Arabidopsis thaliana: one gene and its partners. The main gene of each other region encodes a partner of the protein of the gene in region 4 in a complex. Each region holds a gene or a part of one and is shown on either strand. Other genes may lie near its edges.

Region 1 (7,727 bases), about 14 Mb from region 4:
TGTTCAGACAATTTGTTGGTTATAGTTAATTGCTTAACTGTACTGTATATGTTCCAAGTTAAGTAAATGTCACAAATTGTTTTTTTTTAAAGTGGAAAATAAATTTAGTAGATGGGACACCGAACACAGTTAGAAAGAGTGAACAAGAAAAAGACATTTATTAATGCTTATTAAGACTGACTTAACTAAGATAAAAAAAGAAAAAAGAAACAATAAAGGGATCCATCCGCTCATAGCCTGAGGTGATCACTATAAACTAGAAAGCTAAACATAAAAGCAAACTCTGCAACATAAGGATTTACAGATGCTATAACTGAAGAGAAGTTGGTGTAGCAAGTAGAGAGAGATATCTATGAATCTGTTGGCTCGGTTTTAAGGGGTGCGGCACCACCTGAGGACGATGCATCGCTTCCATTTTGGTTTTGATTTTGGTTTTGGAGGTTAAGGCTATTTGCTACCATGGAATCGCTGACCATCCCTGCTTCTGCGTCAAAGTTTAGCGTCCTCTTGCGGTTGCTGCTGCTGCTGTGACACCAGATGAAATTGGATTGGGTCAGTGATTGGTTTTATGGAAGAAGCTGATGAGAGACGTGATTTTTCTACTTACTTGTTCAAGCGGTTGTTGATGGCAGATAGGTCCTTTGAAGGGCTCTGGTAAGCATGTGTACTCTCTCCAACACAAGCATAGTAACTCTTTGTACTGTGTGAAATAAGAGCATCCATCTGCAAACACACAACACATGGAAGGTAACCAAACAATCTTGTCACCTACCTCCTCCTCAAGACTTAGTCATATCATGATAAAGAGTTAAGCACTATGATCTTCTTTACCTTTGATCCCCGAAGAGGAGAAACATAAACATTGTGCACTGCAGATACTTTTTTAGGGGACATGTCTGGAACACTTGGAAACACAGACACCTTTGGCGATCCGGGACATTGACCTGTGAATCCAAAATAAGACGATCATTTAACTTAGGGACTAAATTGATAGACAAAGCTTACATCTAACAAGTATCTGGCCTTTCTTAACTACCTTCAGGCTTATTATTGGCTTCCACAGCCCGGTCGTTTCTTACAGGACCTAGCTCCACCAGCAGCGGCTTTACGGCAGGAATAAATATTTCATTGTAGAATGTGATGATGTCAACATGATCTGGCCCTATTCTCTGTTCAAGTCATTGTCACAAATTTAGTCTTCTCCACCGAGTAAAGAAACTTTTCAGCATAAGGTTAAGAGTGTATATATACCCCTTGACGGCGACATTGTAACGCATCCACATAAACGCTGCGGAAAACTAATGGTTTACACTGTGGTTGCTTCCGGTAGTTGTATATGATTTCCCTGAAAGTCAGGCTCATTTGGGATATCTACAAGGTGATTCATGGAAAAAGTGTAAGTGTAAGAGAAGCCATTGTAAACCAGATGACATATAGTTAAACCCTTTGAATCACACTACTCACCTTGGCCACTCCGTAGAAGCAACAGAGAATGATCTGGTCAATGTGTCGACTGAATAAAAGAGAAGTCCGCTGAGCAAGTACATGTTGGAAGAAACAATACACACTCTCCCTTATTTGCTGTGAAAGTTGTAGTCTTTCCACCATTCCATTGATTCTTACAGCAGCCAATTTATTAATCTGGGAAGAGCCACCACATTTAACACAATTCCCAGCCGAAAATGAAGAATCAATACCGTGTTTTGTAGTACATCATCTAACCAAACGATTAGTAGTAGATCCAAAGATCTCACAGACCTACCTTTGTGAAGAAAATATTGATTCCAGTTTCTGCACAAGTTTCTCCTCCACCTCCTGGGTTGGGCCGTGTTGGGCTGTAGACATAAATCCGAAGAGGTTACTTAACAAGTACAGGGACAACTAGATAGGTAAACTAACTCTCCATTTCTACTCATAGTTACTCAAAATGTACCTGGCAAATGCAGACTGCAACGGAGGTGGCAGCATCTTGGATTTAACGTTGCCTAAGGCCAACAGACGATCCTTTACTGGTGATGTAAAGGAATTGCGTTCAACTAGAATGCTGCGGTAATCAGTACATAATCTTTTGGGCGATCTAATCCCCCCATTTTGTCCTATATGGCAGCAAATTTGACAATTTTTGGTAAGAAAATCATACCATTAACAACAGGTTGGAAAACTGCTTTAATTCAGAAACAAATAAAACTACCTGGACAAGTTTCATGCTTTTGTACAGATGATGCATGATTTGCTCCGTCAGAGAAATTAATAAGTGCTGCGATTGCATCCAGAGATGGCATTGGTTCAGCTAGTAAACCGAGCTGATTTATCTCCAATGCAAGCGATGGCCTGGCAACAATCAGAGAATTGTACATTGAAGAGCCTTTCTCCCATACCATACTCTCTAGAAGCCGTTCCTCCAGTGAATTCAGATGTCGTCTCAACTCTCTAGGCAGAGAATCTTCATGTCGTATGAAACTCTCAATTACCTTGCTGAGATCAAAGGCTGTGATCCCAGTCCTCTCCAGAACAGCTGGGAACAACATTGTAATTGTTTTGTGGGTAGCCAGTACCAATTCAGCTGAGCAAGCAAGCATGCATCTATGGAACCTCTCATTTGTCAATAAAGAGTTCAGATTATTTGCATGCAAAATCTGAGCTTCTGCTTTACACATTGCCTCAAGAACTCTGTAGTATAACTTACAAGCTTCTAATCTGCGCTGCTCTGCCCATATGTCATCCATCAGGTCAACAGCTTGCAAACTTCCACCTCCACATTGGGCACCAAGGGAACTATTTGGGAAAATAGCTTCCAATATTATGTGTGCTCTTCGTGTGACGTCATTTGTTATATCCCTATCACATGATTTAAGGAAATGTTCCAACCCAGGAGAAGGTTTTGGCAGAAGCGGGGATATGACAGTCCTGAGCCACTTGGCAGTTGTCATTGCTGTGCTCACTGGTGTTGCTGCCAACTTGGTAGCACCGCTAATACCATTTGTCTTAGCAGCAGGCGACTTATGAGGAGAAAGTGGGCTTATAAATGTCCTTGCAGGTGAGCTCAAAGCATCAATTTTCCTCTTAACACCAGTAATATTAACAGCTCCTGCAGATAAGCTTCCAGATCCAAGTAAGCTATCCTCTTCATTGATGAATACCCTCTCATCAAGTTCGCCTTTACCATCATAGTAATCCTTTTCAAGTGTAATTAAGCTAGTTGAGATGGACGTCTCTTCCAGTAAATCCTCAAAGTAGGTCAAGCCATCTGCAGTAAAACACCATATAGATTCGAAGAACAATCAGGCAACTGTTCAATGAACTCACATGATTCTTTAATTGAAGAAGGAAAATGATTTTAGACCAACCTGGGTCAATATTATCTAGCTTGTCAGTTTGGCACTCAGATGCTGGAGATGGCTTTTTCTTCAGTATGGTTTCTACCAAATTATTTGCCTTGTCAATTACTATCCTCAACTCATCTTCTGAGGCGTCATATATCTTGCAAAGTGATGCAACCAAGTCTACACCTTTGTCACCTTTCTTAACTGAGATTCATCACATAAATGAAAATAGATGATAAACATTCTATGGTGCCATGGTTATCGGGATAGAAGAAAAGATAAACACTCACCAAAGCGAGAAGAATCTTGGATGCTGAAATTTCTAAACCGACAAGGAACATGTATGATCAAAATAGCCTGATAACATGAAAAGGAGTTAGCCTATACTTCAATTGCGTTATATTAAACGAAGCATCTTTCAAGTAATAATGTACAGCAAGACTAAAATGAATGAAAGATTAGGGAGAGCTCCACAGGTAGTCACTAACCAATATAGAAACTACGCCATTTGAGCATGTCACGAGGTCCTTAAATCGACTAAACGCATGGTTTCGGAGTGCCAAAAAGAGTAGCCATCCAAAACGATAACTATCCAGCAAATAGGTAGAAGAGTTTGCTGAGTTCTTTTCTGCGTTTGCATCATATGTCAAAAAGAATTCCCGGAACCCACGTTTGTAGTATCTGTTACCAAGGAAAGGTACCAAAAACATCATACTTTAACATGTCCTTAAAACAATTCACAGAATATAATCACATGAAAACCAGAAATCTGTAACTCTAAATCTTAATTAATTTAAAATTGAAGGAATATTGCAAGCCCATATTCTGATTATTGCATAGGAAGAAAATTTGCTTCTAAGTTGCAGGTCCAAAATATGAAATCTATGTCAATAACTATTCTTACACAAAACAAAGATAAATGTAAAATAGGAAGGGAGCTAAACTCACTTGCTTAGAAGGCTAAGATGCACAAAGTTAGCCTGCACCTCCTTTGCCTAGTAAGTAAAAATTAGTTAATAGAAGCATATTTAACAATGATATAATAGAAGTAGAAGTATATTTAAAAGATGTTAGTCAAAACCTGAAGTCTGTTCTCCCAGTCTGCGCCGTAAAGTTCACCCAGTACAGATCCAGCCTTGACCACAAACTGAGGTAACTCTTTAAAAAAATCCACAATACTATAAACAGAAAAGAGGAAAATCGTCACTACAAATGAATTTAAGAATGACAAGGAAGGAAGAATTGAACACTACTTACTTTAGCTTCAGAGCCCTCAGTATCTGACATAGATTAAACTCATTATCACCAGACACTGACAGACCATCCGCTTCTTTTCTCACACTAAGCCTCTTCACTGAATAGAGAATAAACGCAAACCAGAACCTCTCTACTTCTTCCCGCTAATAAGAAGAAGAAAAAAGGATTTAGTCATAATGAAACCACAGTTAACTGATAAAAGAGAAGTTAGAGGAAAAATGTATTTCACCGTTCCACTTCCAATGTTAGACATGCTTGCTGACAAAATTCGTTTGGTTTCTGTAAACAACTTCAAAGCTTCATCGCAAGTGCTCCCATCAAGAGACAGAACTTTCTGCAATAAGAAATCAACTACAGGGATTAGAGCTAGTCCTCAAAATTTCCGAGAGAACTCAAATGGTATCTTCAACTAAACAAATGCAACTAGATCAGCAAAGAGAAGAGTAAACCTCGCATATGTCCAAGAGAGAGGCTTCGCTTCTTTTCCCATTTGGTTCAATGGGCGGGGTCACTGGAGGCTGAACTTCTTCCATAGTCTCCAACGCAGCTGAAAACATGCAAAATCAAGCTAATTTTACTTCCAATTAAACTGCTAACTGAAGACGAAGAAAAAGGGACTTTTCAAGCAAAGAGATTTGTTAATTTAATCACACTGAAATTCAATAGGAACCATGCCCAACCCATTCGGAAGAACACACTAACAGACATGAGAAAACAAACTCCCAATTTCCCAAAACATGGCAGAAAGACAAAATTTGGGGGAAAAAAAGAAGAGAAATTGGGGCATAATCTAAAACCCACCACTCCGGAAAAATTTTACCCAGATGTTATCTTAAATATTCATTCAAAGTTTTTCTCTTTTTTGTTTTTGGAGAATTCTCTCACCAACTTACAATCGAATAGCGAAATATCAATAGAAAATTTCAGATAAACCACCTAGAGGATAAGATTTCAAATCAAAGGATAGGCAATAGAGAAAGATCTTACCTTTTTGTGTCACAGATCCCAATACCAGACGTCGCCGATTAAAGCCTGAGCAGAAGATCTGATTTTTAAGAAGCCCGACTTCTAACGCCTCCTCCAAAAAATTCGACAAATTCAGAGGAATCACAGAGATCTCCGAAAACCCTACAAATTTTCCCTCCTCTCAGTGTCTCTCTCTATCTTCACCTGACTTCCCTCTTCTCTCTCTAGAATGGGGTCTGATTATGCGGCAAACCCTAAAAAAGGATATATCTCGCGCGGGAAAAACAACACGGAGAATACATACACATACGTATACAATTATATTCGCGCGCTTTCAACCACTATTAAATCGACACGTACCCATCTGTGACCCAATTTTACCGCCAAAACTTACTTACTGTTGCGTGAAACGCTGAGAGGGAAAGATTCGCCGTCACGGCGGGGTCGAAACAAACGGAGTGGGCCATTAACGCCGTCTGGGTTTTCGTGACCGCGACAAAGCCTCGTGTGAGTTATGATTGGGCCCACCCTTAATACGATGCCGTTTCTAGTTTAGGTCACGCGGGAAATTACATATTTGCCATTGTAGAACGTTTGGTTGCAGAAGTATGAGTGTCCTATCCGCGGATGGATTCAGATTAAGTCTTCTTCGTCATCTTCGAGTGTGAGTGGATCCAGAGAGAGAATTAGATATTTCCGACACGAGGCAAATTCCTAGTGGCTCATGGCGTCATCATCTGATCACACGGCGAAGATAATCGACGGCAAGGCGATTGCTCATACCATCAGATCAGAGATCGCCGAGGAAGTTCGCGGTCTATCTGAGAAACACGGCAAGGTAAACGCATCTTATGAATCAGTGTCCTAATCTTGACATGTCTCTCCTTATAATTCTCCGTTCTTTTATAAGATGATAGCACTATTGAAAATTTACTCTCTTTTAGCTTTATGGTTTAAAATGACTAGATTTAAGCAGCTATGATCACAACCTTCTATTGAAAATGCTTAACAGGGTCAAATGTAAGCTCCATTTTAGTTAGATCACTGTTATTTTGTTTCGCTGGATTTTTGAGCTGCCTGCATTACTTCAAGTGGCATACTATCTTATTTATACAGATAGTGTGTGCTAAGCTTATAATGTTTGATATCATTGTAATAAAATAGAAGGAACGAGAGTATGTGTAATAAATGGTTTAGTGCGTTTGTTCAGTTGCTTCAGTTGGACCCCTTTATATAGTTTCAAGAATGTACGAGATTCAATCGAATCTGATTTTACCTTCATGCAGGTCCCAGGACTAGCTGTAGTTATTGTTGGGAGCCGAAAGGATTCACAGACCTATGTGAATACGAAGAGGAAAGCGTGCGCTGAGGTTGGGATTAAGTCATTTGACGTGGGCCTACCAGAGGAAGTTTCTGAAGCTGATCTTATTAGCAAAGTTCATGAACTAAATTCAAATCCGGATGTCCATGGTTAGTTGTGGCGGTAAATAATACTTGATTTTGTATGTCTTCTCGGTTATCATTAGTCTAAACTATTAAGGATAGATAGAAACTTTAATGTCTATGCAAGTCTTTCGTTTTGGTATAAAGCAAACATTCCTTGCTCTCCTGTGCTTATATAAGCTTTGGTGTTTGATTTGCAGGCATATTAGTTCAACTCCCATTGCCGAAACATATTAATGAGGAGCATATATTGGGTGCAATCAGCATTGATAAAGATGTCGATGGCTTCCATCCTTTGAATATTGGTAAGCTAGCCATGAAAGGCAGAGAACCCCTCTTCCTTCCTTGCACCCCAAAGGTACTTCTCCTTTTTTTGCATATAGACTTCAGTCTCTTTCAAGCGAGAAATCTCAGTGTTCTGTTTTTCTTCTGTATCAACTATGAGGTGATTTTCTGTGTGTGCAGGGATGTTTGGAACTCCTAGCTAGAAGCGGCGTAAAGATAAAGGGGCAACGAGCAGTTGTTGTAGGTCGGAGTAACATTGTTGGTTTGCCCGTTTCACTTCTTTTGCTCAAGGCTGATGCTACTGTCACAACTGTACATTCTCACACCAAGGATCCTGAGGCTATCATACGGGAAGCTGACATTGTTATTGCTGCATGCGGACAAGCCCACATGGTGATTTTCATACATTTTCATTGTCATTTAGAAGATAATTTAGTCTACCTCTTGTAGATC
Region 2 (5,604 bases), on a different chromosome or scaffold from region 4:
TGGGTGAGTTTATATAGCAGAATTATATCCAACAATGTATATTAGGAAAATTATCCTCTGAAAGGCATTCCTTTTTTTTTAGGGTACGTTTTACTGTTTTAGGCAGTTACTTCTAGGCAAGAGTTATGCCATTTAACGAAAAGTATTGCTTGGGATCCAAACAAGCACCATATTTAGGGATCCACCAAGATATCAATGTCCAATGTGGTCATGATTAACTCATGAATGACATCAAACATGATATGATCTAACTCATGAATGACATCAAGCTTTGTAAAGTTGATACTTCTTTTCCACAAGATATTTTTCTCTACTAGCGTTCAAGACTTCGAGCTTTGAAACTAAATGTAACAAGATGAGAGATTAACTAGTTTTCAATTTGGAACCATTCGTTTTTTGACATGATTCTGACAGAAGTAACGTTTGATATTGTCCAAATCAGGTGGTTCGTAAATGATGCTTTGTTTCTGTTTGAACATGCAAATTGTAACCTATGGACCCAAAGTGTCAAAAAGATTAATTTCAAAGTTCATTATAAACACATGTTACAAAAACAGATGTATGCATTGACATGCAAAAGGCCATTAAGTATAATTATATATCTAATTAGAGTACAAGTTTTTTCACATAATTGCCACATCCCTTGAATGACCTTAAAATATTGCATCTTTTATTTTTATAAGGAAAAAAATCTATTAGGATTTCAGGCTCAAAAGGGGTAGTAAAATGTAACAGAAAATTCATCCTCATCCTAGTAATTGGGAATTTGAGGTTTCAAACAACTTTGTTTCTCAGCTGTTGAAGTTGCTCCATAAATCTGTGAGGCTCACCTCTGCATCTGACTCGAACCAGTAATCTGCTTTTAACTGGCAATACACAACCAAAAATTCAACTTAATCGCAACATACGAAATGCGAGACTGATCCCAAAACCCATATCAGTGGATCTAAATACTTACATCAGTATCTGAAGTTACTATTTTCAAGGAAGGAGTGTCTACTCCAACTGGAGCTTTTTGATCAGACTCATTACCCAACTTGTCGCTTGTTTCCGCACTGTCTCCTTTGTATTTGCTGCGATCATGTTTGTTCCCAGTTATTAACACTGACTGACAAATATATAGATAAGACCAGACACAGAGAGTGGAATGTGTAACTAAGTACCTTAAAAGATAGACATCAATCGGCCCCATTCTACTCCTAATCACCATCCGGTACTGTTGCGGAAAACTCATCTATCGTGAACAAAAACAGATGCTTTACTTTGTGACACATTATATTACAACTGTACAGCAAATATGAAAGCATTAAAAACGCTCACCTCATCAGGATCTGGAACTTCGATGTAACTAGCTGTAGGAGCTTTAATTGCTAGTAATGTCTGGTTCTGTATAAGGACTACCAGTTTAGTATGTTAAATAACTGAGGAAAACATAAGATGATTTTCAAGAACTAGTTGGGGAGGACCTGAAACCGTGGGAGACTCGTTATATCTTCCTCCGTCATAAACATGTACCTGTTTATTTCCATCATTGATCTTAGCAACACTCTCGTGTATATACAAAAAGATGAAACTCAAATAAACTGACGAATACCTTCTACAGTAGTCATCTTCCTCCAAGGATCTGAGAGCTTCTTGTCGTTCCCTGGAGATACATAACATGATGATCTTCAAACCATGTGGGAAAGGAACAATGGATAAGTCTCCAAACATAATATAAGAACACAAGCAACCAACCTTATAAGATCATCCAACCTGCTTTCCTCAGATTGCATACTCTCTACTTCTGACTGAAAATACGTAGATATGTAACCGGTCAGTAATGGGGAATTTGAAAATAACTGTGTGAAATAAACTATAAGACAGAAAAATAATGAAATCATGAATTTGACAGATTATTTGCATAGCAGTAAGTTCTACGACAAAGAAAACACGTGAAAATGCTTGTCACAATGAACCTTAAGCCTAGAAATTTGATCTCCCAGGTCCTTTTGTCCAAGATTGTCAGCACCCCTGCATCAATAGCGCATACACAAAGTCAGACGAACTCAAGCTATATACGCTGCAATGTATCCAAGAAAGAAAAAATTTGTGTACTTACTTCCAGCGGATATGATTCTTTGTAGTTTTCTCTATCAATCCAATTCCTTCAAGGACATTTGTAATATCATATATCCTTCTTTTTTGTACCTGTTAAGAGGGATCGCAGGAACACGTAAGCACATAAGAGGAGATCCTAACAAGCTGATGAAGATAACTAGGGAGATATCAAACAGTTAAGGCAAGGGTTATAAAGGTGAGTGATCTTTTTAGTCCACGTTCTTAATTAGATCTTCTACGAGTTGAGACATACATTTTTAACTTAAATATTAAGATACATTTAGCATACCTCCAAAACAACTGCACAATAGTTAAGGTCAAGTGTTCCATCCTCAGCTTCCTGGATCAACTTCACGAATTTTTTTGTCAACAACCCTATCAAACAAAAGAGACACCGATACAATTACAGTTGTTATCTCCATACAAACATGAACCTTAGTAAACAGAACTATTAGTTACCTAAAGAACTGTCATAACGGCAGTTAATACTAGCTCCATTTAAGCCACCATTTTGCACTTCTGCACAAAAAAACTCATTCACAACAATGCTGAATACAAACAGATTCTTATTTTCAATACATATCACATTCTAAGAGCTAGCCAAAGAGATTGATCAGAAAAAGCAGATACCGCCATTCGCCATTCGTTTCCCAGCCTTTAACAGTTTAGTACCACCCTTTGACTTGTTGTATACACGTTTAACATTTTGAGGAGACGACTCTTGTTTCACTATTACTTTAGCTATATCTATGCTTTCTCCTCCAGACATGTTGGCAATAGATCCAAGCTGAATTCGATGATTCTTTCTACTCTTCTGCTGCAAATTAAGAAAAGATCAACTCAATAGCATTACAATCACCAAAACGAATCTAAATTCGCAAATTGAGATTAGAGAATTGAAAGCTAGAGATCCAATTTTGGATTAAGTTTCCCTTAATGAAACCAAACTTCATTCAATTTTTGTTTTCGCGAAATTTGGGAATCAGAATTAAACCTAGCTATCGCAAAATCAAGTTCGGAAATGGAATCAAAATCAAAGAAGGAATCTACGAGGACTTGAGTAAACGAAGAGACTCACAACTTTCTGAGTGATTTGAGAGTAAGAATCGTCCCAGTGAGGTGAAATTAGAGGAGACAGTTGTGAATTCGGAAGCGATTGAGAGACTGAGAAAGGTCGATTCGTTGAAGAAGGAGTTAGAGAAGAGTAACGAGGATCAGAGGAAGAGATAGATTGAAGTAATTCGAAGCGAAAAGGAGATCGGTGATGGTAAGAGAGAGTCGGATCTTCGCCTGAGTTTGATGTCGCGGCCATGTAACGGCGGTGTATCTCCGGTGGTAGAGAAGATGGGATTTAGAGTGATTTTTTGAAGCGATTTTGGAGAATCGTGATTTAGGTTTTTGTGGGGGAAGATGAAGAAGGAGAAGAGGGAAGATGGAGAAAAAGATGGAGAGAGAAGAGAGGAAACAGCGGGAAGAAGAGGAAGGGTAAAAGTGTCTTTTTGTTGTATTAAAAAGATTAATATAAGAAAGAAATATTGGAATTATGTTAAAAGAGCGGTGGGCGAAAGAAGTTGGAGAGAGTTTCGAATTCTGCCTAAGCCCCGCCTAACTTCTTCCGCTTATTATTTTACTCTTTTGACTATTTGTTGGGCTTGGTCTTGGGCTTGGTCTTGGGCTTGAATTGGGCTTAATAATGTTACGACGTTTACATATCTTCTAGAGCTTCATACTTTGTAGCTTTATGTTAATGATCGACATTCATGGTTCACGAATCTATAAATACGGAGTCTCGGCATTGCTAGATTGAGTTTACAGGGGAGTCCTAATCTCCGAGGTCCATCTGCACCAATAAACTCTATGAACGGCCCAAATTTGGTCCAGTTATCATACCAAAAAGTAGTTTAGAGTTCATGGTCTTTGCCAAAAGGTAGAAATTAGAATGAATTTCTAAACCCATGATTCATTTTGTTTCTCTGGTATCATTTTTCTAGCTTTTTTTCTTTAATATTTTCATAAAAACAATTGAAGAATGAAGAGTGCTTCTGCATAGTTGAGTACTTGAGTAAGTGATATCTAATTAATATCAAATTATGTGAAAATTATACCATCTTTTATGAAGTCGTACTATATATGTATATATGTTTTTTTGTCTATCTTAATATATGTTTATGGGTCTGATTGGTAACCAAAAGTTGTTAACTCTACTACAGGTATTAAGCTGTACAATAAACTAAGAGTAAAACTTTGTAACGCTTAGTACCGTTTTGTAAAGTGGTTACCAATCAAAACCTATATTAGGTTATAAGGAAGCGATGGGTGCATTGACGACAAACACACAAACTTGGTGTATAGCGCTACACAAGGGACTGTTTTTTTTTTCATTGTATTATTACCAATTGCATCATGTAACAAAAATAGGAATTCAAAATACTGAATTAATTAATCATGATTTTGAATAAACAAAACATATTAAAGGAATGTAAATATAATTGAGTTATTTCAAAGAGTTTTCGTATCGCATAAGTTTGATACCTTAACTTGTTTTCGTAAAACTGGACAAATATGACGAGAAAAAATCCCTTCATGATATCATGATGGCTTAAATCAACGTAATTTCCATTAGTTTAGATCTGAGAGACTGAAACATTGGTGTACCAAACAATGTAAAACACACATTTTCGTCCCTATGGCATGTGACAACTTTTTAGCCAAAAAAAAGAAAGAGTATTTTATTTAGAAAAATATTTGTGAAGACATATTATCCACATTTTTAAAATTTATTGTAGCCATGGATCAGAAAAATTATATTATATTTTAGTTTAACTGTGACAAACAAACAAAACAAGATTATCCATATAAATGTAAGTTCGTCTAGATATTCATACAGAAAAAGTTTGTCTAGTTGCATTTTTGTTGTCCTAAATTTCAAGTGCACTAACGCGAAATCTACTTCACTTGTCATGGTGCAGTAAGAAAAAAACAGTAAATAAAAAATGAAAAAAATATGGAAACACTAAAAAAGAATTTACAATAGTCGATAGCATTTTTATTTGTTTACTTTGGTTCCTTTTTTCTACTTTTATACAAAAGAAAAGGTGAGGAGGAATTTATAGCCTCTAAAAGTGATCTTACAAGTTATCTAACGTTGTTTTTTTGGTAAGAAGTTATTTTTATTATAACTCCTACCATTTAGGTAATTAACTTCCTTAGGCTTAAGAGTTTTCTACAACTATTAGATTTTAACCCGTAGTACACCATGAAGATTTTTTTTTTTAAAATTAGTATATATAAAAGTTTGAAAATTATATCTATCTATAAAATATTTTTATTTTATATTTTATAATTCTTATTAAGTAACGTTCTTCCAAACCCGTCTCGCCAAACCTGTCCTATAAAAAAAAAAGACGTACACCGCTAATTTAAATAAATAATTAAAATAAATATTTTACAGGATTGCAATTGTATTTTAGTTTGTTAAACAAATTTTTGTTTTAAATAGTTGTC
Region 3 (5,444 bases), about 15 Mb from region 4:
AGTGGACTATATTAGTGAGAAAATGAGGAGCAGCAACTTCACTGTCTCATCAATGCATGGGGACATGCCTCAGAAGGAGAGAGACGAGATCATGAATCAGTTTCGGACAGGTGAAAGTCGCGTTTTGATCACAACAGATATGTTTGCACGTGGGATTGATGTGGATCAAGTTTCTCTTGTCATCAATTATGATCTCCCTAACAACCGTGAGCTCTACATTCATCGTATTGGACGGTCTGGTCGTTTCGGACGTAAGGGTGTTGCAATCAACTTTGTTAAAATCGACGAGATCAAGATTCTCCGGGACATTGAGCAGTACTACAGTACTCAGATTGACGAGTTGCCAAAGAATATAGCTGATTTGATCTAAAACACTTTTGTCAATGTGAAACTATCTTATGATTTGTAAATTACCTACCCGTTTGAATAATGACATCATAAAGTCTATTTAGAAAAAAATTCAAAGCAGAGTGATATTGTTCACATCGGTGAACGAATGATTCAATGTTCAAATAATCAAAGACGCATATCAATCAAATAATCAAGAACATGCACCAATTTCTATGGCCCACTACTGAAGATCTTTTTTTTGTTATGGAAAAAAAAAACCTAGCTCAACTATGAGGTGTAAATTATTCTTTGGACTAAATACATCTAACATCTCTAACATTAACCCAAAAATAAAAATATAACCAATGAAACAACATTCAGCGTGTAATCATCTAGTCACTGTTTAGCCTAGGAGTTGAGAATCTCCATCAATCAACATATCTTTCTCAGATGATTTGGTTTCATCATCAGCTTTCTCTTCCTCTCTAGATATAAACTCAAGCTGTCTTGATTTGAAAACTGCTGTCCTTTTCGATCTTATCCGATATGGAGGAGATAGATTGTAAGCATTTGATCCATTATTTTGAATCTCTGAACTATCCTTACCATCATTCACCTTTTGATCAACCTCTTTAGCTTCATCTGTTTTCTTGGCGTTGTTGTTATCCTGAACAACAACCCTGGGTCGTCTTTTCCTGAATATGGATGGTGTGTTTGGGTAAGTTCTACCAGCTTCTCTCAGGTAAGATTCAGGACTTCTTGGAGTCGAACCGTTACTGTGCACATTCCTACACGGCGGTGGAGTGAAGAAGCTAACTGGTGATGCGCTTGGACTGCAACCACATTCATTCCCATACATACGCTGCGTATCCACTTCTGACGCCCTGTAATAGTCTATTTGAGGCGTGTAGTACAGATGATAACCATTATTTGCAGCTCCACCATTCTCTGGCAATGGCTCTGGGTTAGGCAACTGAGGAGAACGAGCATACTCATTAAGACTAGTCATTCGTGAAGCAGCTACTACTTCTTCGACAGGAACAGATGAGTTTATTTGGCCATTTCCGTCTTCAGCGAGATTGTTTACATCTGTAGTTACTGATGAGGTTTGAGCAACTGAACCAAAAACCCTTTTCTGAGCAGACGATGAACGTTTGGTTACACTATCAGGAACACCATTCCTTGTTGTTGTTGGTGGTGGTAACCTACCAGTCAATAAGTAGAATTCTGACTTCTTTTTCAATGAACTATTCCAATGGTTCTTTATTGCATTATCAGTCCTGCAGCAAGTTTTAAGTAAAACCTTCATTAAACCCAGAAGCTAACCCTTCTCTAAAGTCTCAACTCCAATGACGCATGCCAAGAAAAGTAAAAATACCTGCCGGGTAAGACCTTAGCAATTTCAGCCCATTTGTTTCCGTGGCTTCGATGAGCATTCATGAGAGCTACTTCTTCCTCTGTGGTCCAAGCATCCTTGTTAATATCAGGATTCAAATGGTTATGCCACCTGCATACATATCAAAACACATTAAAGCTTCCAATATAACTATAAGAAAAATGCTTGGCTCATATGAATTAACTACCTCTCTCGGCATTGCTTCCCAATTCGACCTGGTAAAGACTGTGCGATAATAGACCATTTCGCAGGCCCGTATTTTTCAACCAGTTCAACGATTTTCTCATCCTCCTGCAAAACAACAAACTTTAAGCCTTCGTATTTCACATAAAAAATGAAGCCAAATAATAAATAAAATCAGAAACAGAATCAACCTCATGTGTCCAAGGTCCCTTAATAAGGTCTGGATTTAGAACTTTCTGCCACCGATGCAGGCATTGAACTTCAGTTCTATCAGGGAAAGATTTCGCTGCAAAAATGAATACACCAATTCAAACAATACTAAATGCTTCACGGAACAAAACGGAAACAAACGTAAAAGAAAGTCTTTCTACTAGATGCTCAGCCTCAGATGATCAAGTTAACATACAAGAGTAACTCATAAAACTACAGAGACAAGAGTATGGAACTAATAGTTACTGTAAGCAAGTAGGCTCCAACTTTAATATTCGAACCACAAATCTATGGAGTATGTTGTAGCACTGACATTACTCTTGTTAATATGAGAACTAGAATCTAAAAAGAAGAAGAGACTTACCTATGTTCTTCCAGCTCTTGCCTTTAAACGTGTCAACTGCTTGTCTCAATGTCTCATCCTGCATTAAGTAAAACAACTCACATCTTGAATTTCGAACTACTGATCCAAAATTGATATTGGTCAAAAGCAATCACTAGTCAATACTCAATACTAACCTCTTCCGGAGTCCACCCACCTTTGGCTCGCCTTATAGGGCCACTCGTCCTCCTGCATACCAAACACTATCAACATCAATCTCTTGTAGAAAAGATGCAAATTCGCAAACGAGTGCTGCGGAGGAGATACAAAACAAGGAAGAAGAAGAAGGAGACGAACTAACCCGAGGTACCTATGAGTAGGTGATACTGTGGCAGGACTTGCAATTGTAGGTGACTTGTGGGAACTACCAGCACTGCCTTCAGATACAGAAGAGCACGAAGCAGGTGTTGATTGCTTATTTTCTACACACTGATCCTCAATTTTCACTTCACCTGTTTCTTCCTGAAGATCCATCATCTCAATGAAAGAAAAAAAAGATCCAGACTTTGATAAGAAACAGAGAAACCCTAAAAAAGCAATCATCGTAAAACACAAAGCAGACAGAACCCAGATCTCACAAATCACGAATTCAGTAAACAGCTCAACATTAACACCAACCACAGCAAAATTAGGGTTTATAACAATTGTAATCACAAAAATTTATAGTTTCAATAAAGTTAAATTCGTTTCGAATCAGAGCCAAACAACAAAGAACTCAATTTCACTAGAATCTGATCACAAGAACAAAACCCTTAAAAATTCAGATTCGATACACAAAAACTAACCTCATCTGGAGAAGAAGCGGCTGGATTAAAAGTGGAGCTCATCGAGATAGATAGATACACGAATTCACCAGCAGAAGAAGAAGAAAGAAGGCGAAAGGAACGTTAAAAAAAAAACCAAAACTTTATTCGAAAAATACTTTGCCCGTTGAACCAGAGAGAGAGGGATAGAGAGAGAAAGAGAAGACTTGATCGAAACAAAGCGAGAAAATAAAACATAAAAAAGGGTTCCCTAAGTTTTATCTCTCTCTCTCTCACTATTATAACGAATACTTCTTCTGCTGACGTCACACCGTTACTTGCCGTTCTTTTTACCTTAAGTAACCTATTTTCTCCAAACCGAACTGATATTTATCCATAAGCACGAGTTGAATGTAATGCAATCTAATTCTGGTTAAAGCTGGTTCAGTAAAATAGACCAATTTAACGCCGTCGTTATCTTTTGGAAAGTGGAAAAGTCGTCAAGGTTAGAAGGTACACTAACGGACGTTAACGGTAGAGAGTTAACCTCAGAAACAGAAGTTTGAACCTCAAACGGCACTCGTAGCTGATCCGTTGACCACTGAACACGTATACGATGCCAAGCTTTGCAGGTGACTCTGGACCGTCGGATTTGGTTTGAGATGAACTTTATGATTCTTCTTAAATACTATCCTGTAAAACCAAGCTAGATGTAAGATCATCCGGACCGACACATTTTGTTTAAAATTGAATTTTCTGGTATTTGATTTTGGGAATTTTCATAAAAAGTCATCACTTTTGTTTCAGTTATATCTTTATAGAAAAATAAATTTAAAATACATTTAGCTCATCAAATAGGTGAGATAAGTTCAGTGATTGTTAGTTGTTATCTGATAGAAATTAGAATTATCATAAACAAGGAAAATAAAATTATCAAAATTAAATACATATAGATTTTATTAAATTAATTAAGTTAGTGGTTTTTCATTTCTTAGTCAGTACCACTTGAATTGTAAAAATAAATAGATCATTTGTGTGAACTTTTTTTTCTTTTAAATCTTAAATATTTGTTACTGATAATAAAGAATAAATTTAGTTGGGGTTCTCCTATATTAATGCAAATAAAATCAACTAATCCGGCAAAACAAAAGAAATTAAAACTCTTGTGTTTCACAATACATATCATCAATACAATCCAAAATCATTACCATCCTCTTCTTCTTCCTCGTCCTCTTCATAGAATTTCTCGCCGTTTTGAAAATCTGTCTTCATGTCGTATGATTCTACATTGCCTTCTTCTTCATCCTCTTCATCTTCATCTTCATTTTCACCATTCTCATGTTCATTACTCTTCATTTCCTTGTTCTCTTCCTTCTTCTTCTCAATGTCTGTCTCTGTTTTCGACCTCTTGGGTGATTTCTCAGGTGCCTGAAAGAAGAAAAGAGAAGCAAAATTGTAAAGACCTCAAAAAGTGATGAGAATTGAGGATACAAGAAGAGGTAATCAAAAACTTACGGATGTATCAAATAGCGACTCCAAAACATCGTAGTTGATCACCGAACTAAGTCTCTGTAAGAGTCAACACTCAAAATCAGGAAAAAGGAAGAAACACAGACTCTAAAGTTTCTTCAATGCTAATAATTTCGACAGCCATGTTGTTGACTATGTACTTCCAGGCCAGGTTTTTAACAGATGATACATGGCATACTCGGTTTATCTTTTTTTGCATATTCGTTTTCAAGTATCAAGGTATCAAAGAAGCTGACATTCTAACCTTTTTATCAAGCGTTCGGCGTACCGCCTCCACTGCTGTGGCTGGAGGAGCCGCGTTCTTTGCTTCCTCAGCTTTTTTTTGTTGCTTTTCCTATATGAAGAGAGAGAAAAAAGAATCAGAAATTGATTGAGAAACCATATGTCATCAATGGGTATCATGTTATTCTCCAAAAGTCAGATGCTTGATCAGGAACATAATTTCAAAGTTCAAACTGAGTCACCTTTCTAGATTTTGCCGCATCAGCTTTGGCAGCTTCGAAAGCCTTTCTTGCATCTTCTGGGCAATTAGAGTTGCTAGCTTTTAAAGCTTCACTAGCCGCCTTCAGAGCTGCTTCCTTAGCAGCTTGCTCCTACAAAACAACATAATTTTGTATGTGATTTGATCTCCTAGGTGATAAATCAAAAGGAATCCAAGAGAAGATACATA
Region 4 (5,245 bases):
GACACCAAGCGCAACAACGAAAGTCGATTCCCTGAATCCAAATTGTGTTCCTCCCTCTGTAATTCGAAACCCCCAAATCAAATCTCACCCAAAAGTAATTAAGAGACTCTGATTTGAAAACAAAAACAAGTAACGAGGTAGGTGTAAAGACTTTACTGGGAGAAAGAGAGAGGGAGAGGGAAAAAGAAAGAGAGAGAAAGAGAGAGGGGGAGAGAGAGAAAGAGGGAGGGAAGATAGAAGGGAAGAGAGAGGTAGACGGAAAGAGAAATGGAGAAAAATAGATAAAGGGGTAAACTTGGAATTAATATACAAAATATAGAGGATATCAGTTCTTTTTCCTTTTGATGTTAGTTTCTTAATTATAAACTTTTTGTTGGTTAGTTTTGCCAATTCCCTTACTTACAACTGATAACCGTATAGCTCTTTTATCAGAAAAAACTTTATATATCTAATCTCCCAAAATATACAAATGTGAGAAATATCTGAAAATAAATCAATTCTCACCAATTATATATATTTGATTACTTAAAAATGTTAATATATGGCAGTTGCTTGTTCAGAGAATAACTTAAAAAATTGATCACGAGATCGGCTTATGTTTAATATTTTTGAACTCTTGGGATAAAAGTTTTGAAGATATATATATCGTAGAAAAGTTTTGTGTTCTTTAATTAGTTACAAAATTTTGAGTTTTTTTTTTTTCTTTCATAAAGTATCAGAATATCAGGGTGATTTATTGAATAGTTTATTTTTTCTCGTTCTACTCACGTTATTCTTGCAAGTATTAATTTTGGTTTGTTTATAAAAAAAGTATTTGGAAATTTTATGTGAGCAAGTGCGAAATAAACGAGGATTTTGGGAAGTATTTTTTTTTTTGTAAAATCGGTTATATTGAACGTTATACTATATATATTATTATATAAATATAACTGCTAAAGACTAAATTTAGATACTAAAATCAGCATTGATGAAGATCCACATGAATAAGACTCGTCTCTTAACTCAACATTTAACATATGATTTTCATATTATTGATCATTTATCTTTGTGTTGGTCCAAGGTGCCAGACTTTATTATTTACATTAAATGTTGAGTTGTTTACTGACATATTTTTTAATTAAAACAACTTTCATATTATTGCCCATTTATATTTTGGTTGGTCCTCCAAAGACTTACAGGATACATATGTTTCTCCATTTTCATTTTTATGATCTAAAACGTCTTTTTCTAACTTAGATTCTAAATGGTTACAGCAAACCGGACATACAATTTTGCTTGTCAAATGGATCGTTGAGATAGACAACAATCCAATGTAAAACCAAAACTCTTGATTTATAATTGGTCTGCAATGATTTTTTTTTGGTTCATATACCATTTTATAAGATAGCAAACCATTTTCATCATAAAAGATATATTTTTTTATCATTGAATACCAATCAAACCCGGTATAATAAATAAAATTGTACCAAATTAATGCGGTTAGGTAAATTCAATTTATTGGAAATTAAAGAAGAGAAAAAAAAAATAACGAACAAAATTTCCTTGACACAAAAAAAAAAAAAGAAGAAAGAAAAAACCCTTACTCTCAATTAGTCAATCCCCTTCCCTAGTCCTCCTCTCTTCAAGCTTTTCACAGAAAACCACCACCCTTCTCTCTCTACTGCCTTTTTACCACAGAGAAGAGAGAGGATCCGTCGGTGTGCTAGTCTCACTGACACTACATCCGATCGTCGCCGGTAAGTTGATTTCGTTACTCTCCGATCAATTTCTTTTCCGGAGGAGGAACTTGTTTTCCGTGCGAAATTCTGACTTGAACTTTGTTGTCAATTCATCAAACGCTTTATCTTTTCTCCATCTTCAATTATCTTACTGCTTCGTCGCTGATCTCTACTTGTTTTCCTCCGTTTTGCATTTTCAGTGGCGTTTCTTAGTGTTTCACTAGATTTAGACTGGTTTTGCTTGTGTGCATTTTGTCATCAGTGTTTATGATTGTTCGCTTTAGCTCTATGTTTCTATGGATTTGATAATATATGAGTTCGCTGCTCTGGATTCAGCTGGCTTGTTTGATTGTTCATTTTCATAATTCTGTCCAAAGAATCAAATCCACAGTAGCTCGGATCTGAGATTGATTTGTTTCTTTGCGTCTTTGTGTAGATTTGACTTTAATTTTGAGATTGTTGTGTGCTGATATACAGCTTAATTAATATAGCCTCTGATGTGTTATTATCGATGTGTCATTATCAATCTACAGGTGACATTTTATAAGTGTGGAGTTTACTTCAGCTTTATTATTCAGGAATTGATGGATCAGGTTGGTGTAAATAGTTGTTTCAGTTCTTACTCTTTTGACGAGAGTCTCTGTTAATGTGCTCTTATTAATGCAGTACGAGAAAGTTGAGAAGATTGGTGAAGGAACTTACGGTGTGGTTTATAAGGCACGTGACAAAGTGACTAATGAGACAATTGCTTTGAAGAAGATCAGGCTAGAGCAGGAGGATGAAGGTGTTCCTAGCACAGCAATCAGAGAAATCTCCCTCTTGAAAGAAATGCAGCACAGCAACATTGTCAAGTATGATGTTAATACCATTGTTGAAAACTGATTCAGCATGATGACTCTGGTAAACAATTTTGATTGATGTTTTTTGCTACACAGATTGCAGGATGTGGTGCACAGCGAGAAACGTTTGTATCTGGTTTTTGAGTATCTTGACTTGGATCTCAAAAAGCACATGGATTCTACTCCTGATTTCTCCAAGGATCTACATATGATCAAAGTGAGTGCTAAGAAACTTTAGGCATTGTTTTATATATGTGCTTAAACTCAATACTCAATATAAGCTGATCAGAGCTGTTCATCCACTATTTTCAGACATATCTTTACCAGATTCTCCGTGGAATTGCGTATTGCCACTCTCATAGGGTTCTCCATCGTGATCTGAAGCCACAGAATTTGTTGATTGATCGCCGCACAAACTCACTGAAGCTTGCTGATTTTGGACTGGCCAGAGCATTCGGTATCCCTGTCAGGACATTTACTCATGAGGTACCAAAGAGCTTTATTCCTTGTTCATATGTTCCCGTTATGAAATCTTTTGGCTGGCTGCATTCCTTATGAGTGTAATGTAAATTAAGTATTATACCACTTATGTGTCTGATAAATGTGATGAAAAGGACTAAGCCATTTCACATAGACGGTTGAAGTAAGCTAGTTCAAGATACTGTAAAATATTTCAATGCTACATCCAGATTTCAGATCTCTTCCTGGTTATTCACACAATTTTTGCATATTGTTCCTTTAGGTTGTTACTCTCTGGTACCGAGCACCAGAGATACTCCTAGGATCTCATCATTACTCTACACCTGTTGATATTTGGTCTGTGGGGTGCATATTTGCTGAGATGATCAGCCAAAAGCCCTTATTTCCTGGAGACTCCGAGATTGATCAACTCTTCAAGATTTTCAGGTTTAATTGCTAACTTCCCCAGTCCAATATTCCTCTATATATTACAAGTGCAAAGACTTGTCTGCAATGATATCACAAGGGATTGTGGAAACATTTTCAACTTGATATCACATTTTGGAGAAGTAGTAAAGGACACAGAAATTGAATTGTTAACTGATTATAAATCTGTTACTGCCTTGTTTTGTTGTCTTCTTCTAGAATCATGGGAACTCCGTACGAGGATACATGGCGTGGGGTAACTTCTCTACCGGATTATAAATCTGCTTTCCCTAAATGGAAACCAACGGTACTTCAAATGTCTTTATTCGCTTGTACATCTTGTCTTCAGTAGTCAAGAGTTCACAACATATATTAATTCTTGCCCTTGTTTTTTTTTCTTATACCACAGGACCTAGAAACTTTTGTCCCCAATCTAGATCCCGATGGAGTCGATCTCCTTTCTGTAAGTTCACTGAGCTAGATATATACACACACATATATAGACACACTACTTCTGCTATTAGAGACCTGTATGCTTGATTGTGATGGATCTGGTCTCATGTTTCTTACTAAAAACCTTTTAACCATTTGAGGTTTTAGATGTCTTATAAAGTCATCAAGAGCCGGCGTACTAAAACCAATTCGATTAGGCTTCATAGTTTCAAAACCACATGAAGCCAAAACCAAACTTGTTTGAAATATGAACAATCTTCAAAAACCAGGATTCTTGAAATTCCTAACCAAACCAGACATCTGGATAGAAATCTAAGATTTTGAGCTCCTGTGAAAGCAAAGATGATAATATATCTCTCTGCTTGATTTGTTTCAGAAAATGCTGTTAATGGATCCGACCAAAAGAATCAACGCAAGAGCCGCCCTGGAGCATGAATACTTCAAGGATCTTGGAGGCATGCCTTAGAAAGGCATAAAACCAGTAATCTCCTTCATTCTATATATAATTATCAATCCTAAGAAAATGAAGAACAATATTAATGGGTTTTGTTTATTCTTTTTCTGAGTTCGTTTCCTACTTATATTCTATTACGAAAAAAAAGAAAGAAGAAGATTTCGAGTGTGTTTTTTTTTACTTCTAAGCTTTTGAGATCAGTTTCTTGTATCTTATTTTACCCAGAATATAGTATTTCCCTATATGAAATATGGTTTTTGTTTTGCAAAATGACCATATTATGCAACTTCTCAGCTTCTTGATTGTGCCTTGATAGTGATCTTTTGAAATATATCCCAAAAAACATCACTTTTTTCGATTTCATTAGTACTTATTTACGAGTTACGACGTCATTTGATAACTAGTATATATGGTCCGTCGATCTTAATTTCCTATTTATAAAGGGTGCACCGTTTTTAATGAGACAAGAGGGTCCAAGTAGCCAATCATTAATGAGACCAAAGTTGACCAGAAAAAGCTGACAAATAAATTGACGAGAAGAACAATTCAACACGTATTCGATAGTTTGGATTACATTTTACAGTTGGTCGAAATTCGAAGTAGATCAAATGTCAATAATCTAATTCGAAACTAAATGAAGGTACCTGATAACCATTTCAGTGTTAGTTAGCAGTGGTTTCAATCTATTCACTAAGCAAAGACGCTTCCATTCTGAAAATCAAGTCCAATGGGAGGCATAAACTTAAGTGTCTGAAAAACTCAAAAAAGCATAGCCTCGTGTAAAATAGACCGATCTATTTATTCATGAATATATGTATGATTATCAAAGTGCATTTATACTTTTTACGTTTTAAAATTTCGTATATAAACTTTCCTTAGTGAATATTATAACATAA

Evidence for each region.
Region 1: CDC2 (region 4) and RBR1 share a complex: the UniProt entries of both Arabidopsis thaliana proteins name them as parts of the DREAM-like complex.
Region 2: CDC2 (region 4) and ATE2F2 share a complex: the UniProt entries of both Arabidopsis thaliana proteins name them as parts of the DREAM-like complex.
Region 3: CDC2 (region 4) and MYB3R-3 share a complex: the UniProt entries of both Arabidopsis thaliana proteins name them as parts of the DREAM-like complex.

What each region holds. Positions count from the first base shown.
Region 1 is NC_003074.8:3,913,321-3,921,047, forward strand, and holds RBR1 (retinoblastoma-related 1), read right to left. Parts: upstream 6,040-7,727; 5' UTR 5,568-6,039; intron 5,128-5,567; 5' UTR 5,114-5,127; coding exon 5,030-5,113; intron 4,915-5,029; coding exon 4,810-4,914; intron 4,724-4,809; coding exon 4,581-4,723; intron 4,502-4,580; coding exon 4,405-4,501; intron 4,319-4,404; coding exon 4,272-4,318; intron 4,005-4,271; coding exon 3,812-4,004; intron 3,681-3,811; coding exon 3,614-3,680; intron 3,528-3,613; coding exon 3,348-3,527; intron 3,248-3,347; coding exon 2,192-3,247; intron 2,097-2,191; coding exon 1,934-2,096; intron 1,836-1,933; coding exon 1,763-1,835; intron 1,642-1,762; coding exon 1,465-1,641; intron 1,372-1,464; coding exon 1,252-1,371; intron 1,170-1,251; coding exon 1,037-1,169; intron 945-1,036; coding exon 832-944; intron 724-831; coding exon 608-723; intron 526-607; coding exon 351-525; 3' UTR 29-350; downstream 1-28. Other genes in the region: AT3G12290 (Amino acid dehydrogenase family protein), read left to right, coding at 6,271-6,384, 6,833-7,016, 7,190-7,347, 7,455-7,667. UniProt on the Arabidopsis thaliana protein: Key regulator of entry into cell division. Acts as a transcription repressor of E2F target genes, whose activity is required for progress from the G1 to the S phase of the cell cycle.
Region 2 is NC_003070.9:17,632,745-17,638,348, reverse strand, and holds ATE2F2 (winged-helix DNA-binding transcription factor family protein), read right to left. Parts: upstream 3,653-5,604; 5' UTR 3,413-3,652; coding exon 3,179-3,412; intron 2,918-3,178; coding exon 2,731-2,917; intron 2,620-2,730; coding exon 2,560-2,619; intron 2,476-2,559; coding exon 2,390-2,475; intron 2,191-2,389; coding exon 2,102-2,190; intron 2,014-2,101; coding exon 1,959-2,013; intron 1,791-1,958; coding exon 1,738-1,790; intron 1,646-1,737; coding exon 1,595-1,645; intron 1,516-1,594; coding exon 1,467-1,515; intron 1,387-1,466; coding exon 1,321-1,386; intron 1,235-1,320; coding exon 1,164-1,234; intron 1,074-1,163; coding exon 959-1,073; intron 867-958; coding exon 792-866; 3' UTR 540-791; downstream 1-539. UniProt on the Arabidopsis thaliana protein: Involved in transcriptional repression. May act by repressing E2F-regulated genes in mature differentiated cells, but is not an antagonist of E2FA.
Region 3 is NC_003074.8:2,877,418-2,882,861, reverse strand, and holds MYB3R-3 (myb domain protein 3r-3), read right to left. Parts: upstream 3,510-5,444; 5' UTR 3,329-3,509; coding exon of another isoform or gene 3,287-3,328; 5' UTR 3,045-3,286; coding exon 2,803-3,044; intron 2,691-2,802; coding exon 2,639-2,690; intron 2,542-2,638; coding exon 2,484-2,541; intron 2,196-2,483; coding exon 2,101-2,195; intron 2,018-2,100; coding exon 1,914-2,017; intron 1,838-1,913; coding exon 1,709-1,837; intron 1,611-1,708; coding exon 734-1,610; 3' UTR 507-733; downstream 1-506. Other genes in the region: AT3G09360 (Cyclin/Brf1-like TBP-binding protein), read right to left, coding at 4,430-4,672, 4,760-4,813, 5,019-5,108, 5,239-5,367. UniProt on the Arabidopsis thaliana protein: Transcription factor that binds 5'-AACGG-3' motifs in gene promoters. Transcription repressor that regulates organ growth.
Region 4 is NC_003074.8:18,069,936-18,075,180, forward strand, and holds CDC2 (cell division control 2), read left to right. Parts: upstream 1-1,518; 5' UTR 1,519-1,736; intron 1,737-2,251; 5' UTR 2,252-2,302; coding exon 2,303-2,311; intron 2,312-2,384; coding exon 2,385-2,569; intron 2,570-2,653; coding exon 2,654-2,774; intron 2,775-2,869; coding exon 2,870-3,043; intron 3,044-3,299; coding exon 3,300-3,463; intron 3,464-3,661; coding exon 3,662-3,749; intron 3,750-3,851; coding exon 3,852-3,905; intron 3,906-4,271; coding exon 4,272-4,361; 3' UTR 4,362-4,706; downstream 4,707-5,245. UniProt on the Arabidopsis thaliana protein: Involved in the control of the cell cycle. Essential for both G1/S and G2/M (mitosis) phase transitions. Functions in cell morphogenesis as well as cell proliferation.